Elephas maximus indicus: one gene and its partner. The protein of the gene in region 1 purifies or fractionates together with the protein of each later gene. This does not show direct contact. Links are inferred from orthologs where the notes say so. Each region holds a gene or a part of one and is shown in the gene's direction. Other genes may lie near its edges.

Region 1 (3,748 bases):
GGGTTTTTTTGGTTTAGTGTAGGCGGGAGCAGCCATTCATCAGTTTGCAGTGTTGCATGGCAATAGAATTTTGGAACTAGAATGGGACTACGACCATTAACTCACATGGTTATGAGTTGGAATTAACTCCACCATTACATCTAATAACCCCTTGACTTTATAATGAGATGGAGCCCTGTACCATCCCAGATCTCAAGACCAAAGGGGAAAAAAAAGGTGGATATTGGTGGGTCGTTGTAGAACTACTGGTATAACTAGCCGTAACTGATTTGAGTATCAATCGTTTTCTGTTCCTAGATTTTTATGTCCTAGACTTAACATGTTGGGGCTGCGGCCACTATGGACTTGCTTGTATCTTAAAATTGTACACAAATTCTGCAGTATAGCTTTAATATTCTTAAACTTTTCTTTGACTTAATCGTCCACTTAAGTGGCTTGATGAAGGTCTTCAGCTGGAGACACGAGAGGTGTAGTGTCTTTCCTGGGTTAATAGTGTAGCACATAGCCCTACGATCAAGGAGCAGTGAATTAGAATCTGGGTTCTCTTGTATTTCCTGTGTGCCCTTGGACAAACTATTCAACCCTTCTGAGGTCTGTCTTCTCTACAATGGGGATAAGTACAGTACTTAACTCACAGATTTGTTGGGTAATCAAATGAGAAAATGCTGGTAAAACGCTCAGCAACACGCTTGGCACAAAAGTCTCAGTGCTGCCCAAGCTGTCATCACCCGGGGTTATACCTCACCGGTAGAGCGCGTGCTTAGCATGCGCGAAGCCTTCGGTTCAATCCCCGTACCTTCATTTTGGACACCCTGGTGGCGTAGTGGTTAAGAGCTACGGCTGCTAACAAAAGGTCGGCAGTCCGAACCCACCAAGCGGCTCCTCTGAAACCCTATGGGGCAGTTCTACTTCTGTCCTATAGGGTCGCTATGAGTCGGAACCGATTTGACCGCAACGGGTTTGGTCTGTTTTGGTTTTGAAGCTCTCACAGCTAGTAGGTAAGAGAAACCGGGCCAAAACTCAGGTCTCCTAATTCTTTGTCTAGTCATCTTGTCGCAAGGAACACTTCTTGGAACCGGTTGCGAAAAACGCGCAAACGACTCCCTCGTTCTGACCCTGTTGAAAAGCGCTGACAGCAGGCGCCTGACGTCGGCCGCCAGAGCTGCGCCTGCGCGGGCGTCCGCAAGCGGTGGCCTCCCACGAGTCAGGGAGTGACGTTATGCGCCTGCGCACTGGGCCCAGCTTGTCCTCCAGGACTTACCCAGTAGGCAACGCGTCGTTCTCGGGTCAAAATGGCGGGCAGGTCTTCGGGTAAGTGATTGGTATTTTTCCTGGTGGGCATTGCTGCGCTAAGCCTTTTATACTCGCAGCTTCTTGCTCCTTTTCCTGTGGTCACTCTGGGTGGCCAGGTTTGCGGCGTAAGGGGGGATAGCGGCTCCGGCCCTGTCAAAGGACGTGTTTCCCGCACCCTTTTGCTTTCCCCAGGCCGGGCTTGTGTAGGGGGTTGGGTTGTGGACCTGCTGTTTGTGAAGGTGCCAGCCGTAGTCTCTGACAATCCTGCGTTCCAGCTGCCTATGCTCCACAGTCCTTCCCCTCGGCCTTAGAAGAGTATGCGGCCCGAAACCCTCAAAGCCCAAGGAGATACCCGTTGCGGTCGAGTCGATTTCGACTCACAGCTTCCCTATAGGACAGAGTAGAACTGCCCCATAGTTTCCAAGAAGTGCCTGGTGGATTGGAACTGCCATCCGTTTTGTTTAGCAGCCAGGCTCCTAACCACTGTGTCACCAGGTTAAGTGAATGGACTAATGGTATTAAAATCCTTCCAAAAATACATATTTTTAAGAGGGTGTCCAAGTAAAATAAAGGTAATGTAGATAAAAATTCAGAGAGCAGGGGCCATTTAGGCCTGCCAGCCTATCCTACAATCTCACCCTCCTTACATACGACATACAACCCAACGCCCTGGAAAAACAAAGTTTACGGTTATTTCCTACAGTCTGTTTCTGAAACTACAAAGGAGAAGTTCTGAGGCTGTACCCCATCTCTCCACCTTCAGTTTTTTGGGGAGGAAATCCGTCTTCAGTTTGTATTTGATGTTTCGATAGAAACATTACATATGAGCATCTGCAGGTGAACATCTGAGAATGATAACAGCAAATTATGTGCTGCAACACTGTATATAGTACGTATCACTAACAATAAGATGTACAAAAAAAAACCAGACGGTTGCAAGTGCAGTTTGCCATAACTTGAATATGGTGTAAGTCAAGGACTACCTGCATTGTGTAAACTTACAAAAGGAAACCCCTTCTGTGTTTGAATTCTTTAATAGTACGGGTCGCTTGCCTATCAGAGTGTTCATAGAGTATGAGTGAATTGTAACAACTAACAGTGTGACAATATCAGTTGCAGCATCAGGCCGGTGGCTGAATGGTATTCGAAAATGGTATTACAATGCTGTAGGGTTCAATAAATTCGGTGAGTATCCGTGTTTCCTTCTCTCTCTCTTTTTTTTTTTTTTTCTTCATTTTCTGAGAGTGATGGTTCTGCAAGAGTCATTATAGTTCCAAAAAATAATTGTTCCTGTGTACATCAGAAGATTTTTAAATTAGGTCCTTTTTTTTTTTTTTTGGTAAACCCATTTTCCTTTTTATTATTCTTTTGACAGGAGAGAAATGGAATCATCTGGGTGGTTGAGGTAGAAATGATTTATGTTCTTGAACTAGGGTATTAGGACATTTTCCTTATAATACACTCCCCCCTTCCATCTTTTCCACTTCATGTTTTAAATTTTAAGTTACATAAACATTGAAAGTATGGATTTTTCAAATATTAAAATTGTCTGACATCTTTACCATTATCTGACTCCTGAACTCTTTCAGAACTTTTTAATTTGCCATGAACTTCATCTTGTGCTATCGAAGCTTGATGGAAGCTCCGATAGATGTTACTGACTCCCTAGTATACTACCATCATAAGGTTCTTCAATCTCAGATTTAAAGTATAAGAAAATACAGGTATGATTCATTGATGTGTGTTTAAAAACAAGGTAGATATTTTAAATATTTTTAAAATTGGCTAGATAAAATGTGAGATTGTGGCAGTGGATTTGAAAAGGCTTAAATGTTGTTTAGGAAATATTCCATTATTATGTGTAACACTCGTTGGTAGATTTCCACTGTACTTAGTAACATGAACCCTTGATATTTCACCCAAGTCCTAAGTTATAGATAATCTGTTTCACTCATTAAAAAAAATTCCTGATTTTAGAGGTGAATGTTCAATCTGACTCTCTTGTGTTCTGTCCTAGGGTTAATGCGAGATGATGTTTTATATGAGGATGAAGATGTGAAAGAAGCCATAAGAAGGCTTCCTGAGAACCTTTATAATGACAGGATGTTTCGCATTAAAAGAGCACTAGACCTGTCCCTGAAACACCAGATCTTGCCTAAAGAGCAGTGGACAAAATACGAGGAGGTAGAGCAAAATTTATGTATCTGACAATGTTGGCAAGTAAGGATTGCGTGTGTGTAACAATAGGAGCACATTTGTCTGGAGCTTTAGAGTTCACAGAGTTCTGTGAGATAAATATCCTTACAGCAGGCAGCCTGGAGAGGTTAATAGAGCAAGTGTTAGCCCGATTTTAGAGATGAACAAATTGAGGTGAAGTGACGCTTCCACAACGCTTAGTGAGTCTCTAATACAGAGTTTCGAGACTGTAGTCAGGTCTTCAGCCCCCCAGGCCATT
Region 2 (3,748 bases), on another chromosome or scaffold:
CTTAAACCAGCTACGACAGGGGAGATTCTGGATATGTTTTTAAGGCCGCGATGGAATCATTTCTTCACGGACCCAAACCCAAACCACACGAAACCCACTGCCGTCAAGTCACACTCACAGCGACCCCATAGGGTTTCCAAGGCTGTAATGTTTACGAAAGCCGACTGCCACATCTTTCTCCCGCTGCTGGTTTCGAACCGCCGACCTTTCGGTTTGCAGTCGAACGCTTTAACCATTGCGCCACCAGGGCTCATCACAGCCCCAAGTCACCCGAATCTTTATTAATTGGTGCCTTATGAAGTTTAAAAAAAATTTTTTTTTTTTATGAAGTTTGGAGAAAGATGATGAGCAGGGAGGTGGAGTCTGGGTCAAAACGTGATGAGTAACCCCGGGGGAGAGATTGGTTTGTTTTCAATCTTCTAACAATTGGCCCCTTAAAAATCATCATGAAGGCAGGGACTTTGGTGTTTGTTGTTCAAAAATGTATCCTCAACGCTTAATAGAACTGCATGGTATAGGGTAAGCGTTCAATAAATATTTCTTGCACAAATAAACGTCCTTCCAATGGGATAGCCTTCTCCAGGCTCGTTCTCCAGCCAGCCCCGGGACCCACAACTACCTTGCTGGGGTAAAGATAGGGAGATCATGAGAGCCTGTAAGTGGGTATCCCGAGCCCCAGCTGGGAGCCTTTCCAGGTGCCGCGCCAGCTCACGGTTGGCCTGGGAGTGATGGTGAACAGGCAGTGAGCCCAATGGGAGGGCGGAGCTCCATGGGTGGGCGGTGCCAGAGCGGCTTCCGGGTACCGCCTCCCCGCGGGCGCTCTAGCCGCGCGAAAGACTCCTCAATGCTTCGCCTCGCTCCACTTCCGTCAGCTCTTAATTCCGCTTCCGGTCCGATAGAGGCGTCGCCTTCTGAGGGTCACATTGAGCTGCGAGCGGTTTCAGGGGTGTCTTTAGGTGAGTATGGCGGGCAGGGGAGCCTAGGACCCCAGCCGGGGGACTGAGGAACCAGACCCCAGCTTCCCCGAGAACAGAGGGAGGCTTTCGGCCGGTGACGCCGGGCTTCCCCGTGAGCCTCCGGGGGCCTGTTCTGTGAACACAGCTGACGATTGTGCAGTGTTTTTTTAATGCCAGGCGGCTTTTCAAGCGCTTTGCTTATATTCATTTAATCCTCCCTCCACCCTTGTGAGGTCGAGCCTGGGATGACCGCCTTTTGACAGTGGGGACACTGAAGCTCTGAGATGTTACGGAAGCGACGTAGCGGAGTTCACACAGCGACCAGGATTCGGACCCAGTAGTTGGACTGCAGAGCGCTGGTGGCGCAGGGTTTGCGAGGTCGGCTGCTAACCGAAAGGTCGGCAGTTCGAGCCCAGCAGCCGTTCCTCGGAAACCCTCTGGGGCAGTTCTTCTCTGTCCTGTGGGGTTGCTATGAGTCGGAATCGGGATTTTGGGTGGGTTTTGGTTTAGTGTGTATTGCAGTGCTTTTAATCACCAGGCCGCAGGCATGACCTCCCGGGGCTAGCCTGGACCGCGGCGTGGCTGGTATCCGACCCCTCCTTTTCCTTGGACGTTGGGAAGTCCGCGTCCTCACCCCAGATCCACCGTCATCCAAATATCGATTTGAGATCTCGCCCGAATAAAGCTACTCTTTGTCCCCACGGCTGTGTTCCAGCAGCTGGTGTTTTACATTCCTCTCCGACTTCCTCTCCACCTCCCCTCTCCCGAAGACTGTTGCGATGCTCCTGACCCCTACTGCTGCGCTGGCCGCTTGAATTGAACACCGGTCTGGGCATCTCTCTGCTACCCATGACGCCGCGGATTCCCTGCAATTCAGAGGCAGTTTCTCGCAGATTCCCAGGCGAAGACTGTGCTTCAGCTCTTTAGAGACATTATATCGGAAGTTTTTAACCCTATGTCCGCAGAGTCTATAGAATTCGAGGGATGCTAGCGCTTGAAGAGGGGACAAATTACATCTGTATTTTTAGGAACCTCTGATTCAAATATAGCATTTCCTTCAGTTAGAATGGAGGCAGCAGCCTCCGTAGTATTAACAGCACCTGTATTTTGGTCACCAGTCAAAATCACAGATACTGTTATATCACATTGGAAACCCTGGTGGTGCAGTGGTTGAGCGTTTGGCTGCTAACCAAAAGGTCGGCAGTTTGAATCCACCAGGCGCTCCTTGGAAACCCTATGGGGCAGCTCTACTCTGTCCTGTAGGGTCGCTATGAGTCAGAATTGACTCAATGGCAACAGGGTTTTTTTTTTTATGTCACATTACAGTTGCTGCAGATTTCATAGAATTATCCTTCTCACGTGTGATTCCTTCAAAATCGTGGTTGATAAAGCTGCAGCAAGATATAACTGGTTTTTGTTGTGATTCTATGCAATTTAAAATATATTTAAACACATTCTAAGGAAGGTTTATAGGATTCATCTGGCCCCTGAGGGGTTCACGGCCTCTATGGTGTAGGGTACGCCAGTGGTTGAGTGTAGCACCCCACCATGTGTATGGTGTGTGACCTTGGGAAGCGACTTAGACACTGTCCCCTCGTCTGTGCAGTGGGGACAGTTTCTACCTTACAGAGGGGCTGTTGTGAGTAAAGTGTAGAACGGCACCTGGCATGTGGTAGGCAGTGTATTTGGGGCCAGGCCTGATTTTGCTAAGGAGTAGTCCCCAACTGTGCTGTGACTTCCACACCCAGAGATATGGATTTGTCCTTTCTCTATCCGTTCTGTGTCTGGACCTGGGTGGATGGACATCCCATGCCTAGGCACCCCAGAGTCCCTACCAACACCCACCCCCTCTCCTCCAGGAGTCATCACCATGTCAGAAGACATCAAGAGCAAAATCAAGAACTACCGGACTGCCCCTTTTGACAGCCGCTTCCCCAATCAGAACCAAACCAGGAACTGCTGGCAGAACTACCTGGGTAAGCAAGGTGTGGTGGGAGAACACAGATCTTCCCCTGGTCTCATGCCTCAAGTCCCCCCTTCCCCTTTCCTTCCCCCTTCCCCCACCCTGCTGGGGTCTCCCATGCATCCTAACACTGGTCCTAGCTCCTCTTTTACCTCTGGAGAGCTAGTGCCAGCATGTCCAGGGTCGGCCACGATCACAAACTTTGATTTCTAAAGAATGGACAGCAATAGGTTTGGTTTTGTGTGTGTGTGTAATGCAACATATGTACAGGAAGTACATAAAACAGTGTACAGCTACATGAATAATTCTGAAATGAACCCCCAAGCACCCATAGCCTGAATCGAAAGTGGAATATTGCCAGCACTCGGAACTCCCCTGCCCTCTGCGTGCCCTGTCTTGAACACAGCCCCCTACTCTCCCCACTAGAGGTATGACCCCACAGGTGGCAGTCACAGTTGGGGTTTTATCACCAAGTTTTTAAGTTTCCTTCTCAGTGAGCTTCATACATACTAAATGTATTCTTTGTGTTTGGATGTGTTTATTCACATTTTTAAGATTCAGCCAGGCCGTGGCATGTAGTTTGTTCATTTTTATTGCTCCGCTGTATTCCACAACTTACCTCTTCTCTTCAGGGACACTTGTGTGGTTTCCAGCTTGGGACTCTGAGAATGATGCTGCTGTAGACGTTCTTATAAATGTAACCTGATGCCTGCGTGCAACGGGATGGAATGGAGGGAAATGGAGTGCCTGGAGGTTTTTTTTTTTATGGAATTTCTTTTCATTTCTTTCATTATGGTTGATTTTGTACTTGCTAAGTTTTTGTTTTTCT

The links.
Region 2: the proteins of cytochrome b-c1 complex subunit 7 (region 1) and cytochrome c oxidase subunit 6B1 purify together in Homo sapiens (affinity purification with mass spectrometry; 3 studies listed by BioGRID and IntAct, counting the BioPlex papers as one, with this or other methods). This does not show direct contact. The link is inferred for Elephas maximus indicus from reciprocal best matches to the Homo sapiens genes UQCRB and COX6B1.

What each region holds. Positions count from the first base shown.
Region 1 is NC_064833.1:45,713,907-45,717,654, forward strand, and holds the start of cytochrome b-c1 complex subunit 7, read left to right. Parts: upstream 1-1,256; 5' UTR 1,257-1,292; coding exon of another isoform or gene 1,293-1,311; intron 1,312-1,320; exon of another isoform or gene 1,321-1,996; 5' UTR 1,997-2,160; coding exon 2,161-2,182; intron 2,183-2,406; coding exon 2,407-2,478; intron 2,479-2,503; exon of another isoform or gene 2,504-3,017; intron 3,018-3,310; coding exon 3,311-3,477; intron 3,478-3,748. UniProt on the Homo sapiens protein: Component of the ubiquinol-cytochrome c oxidoreductase, a multisubunit transmembrane complex that is part of the mitochondrial electron transport chain which drives oxidative phosphorylation.
Region 2 is NC_064829.1:114,617,968-114,621,715, forward strand, and holds the start of cytochrome c oxidase subunit 6B1, read left to right. Parts: upstream 1-849; 5' UTR 850-956; intron 957-2,815; 5' UTR 2,816-2,826; coding exon 2,827-2,932; intron 2,933-3,748. UniProt on the Homo sapiens protein: Component of the cytochrome c oxidase, the last enzyme in the mitochondrial electron transport chain which drives oxidative phosphorylation.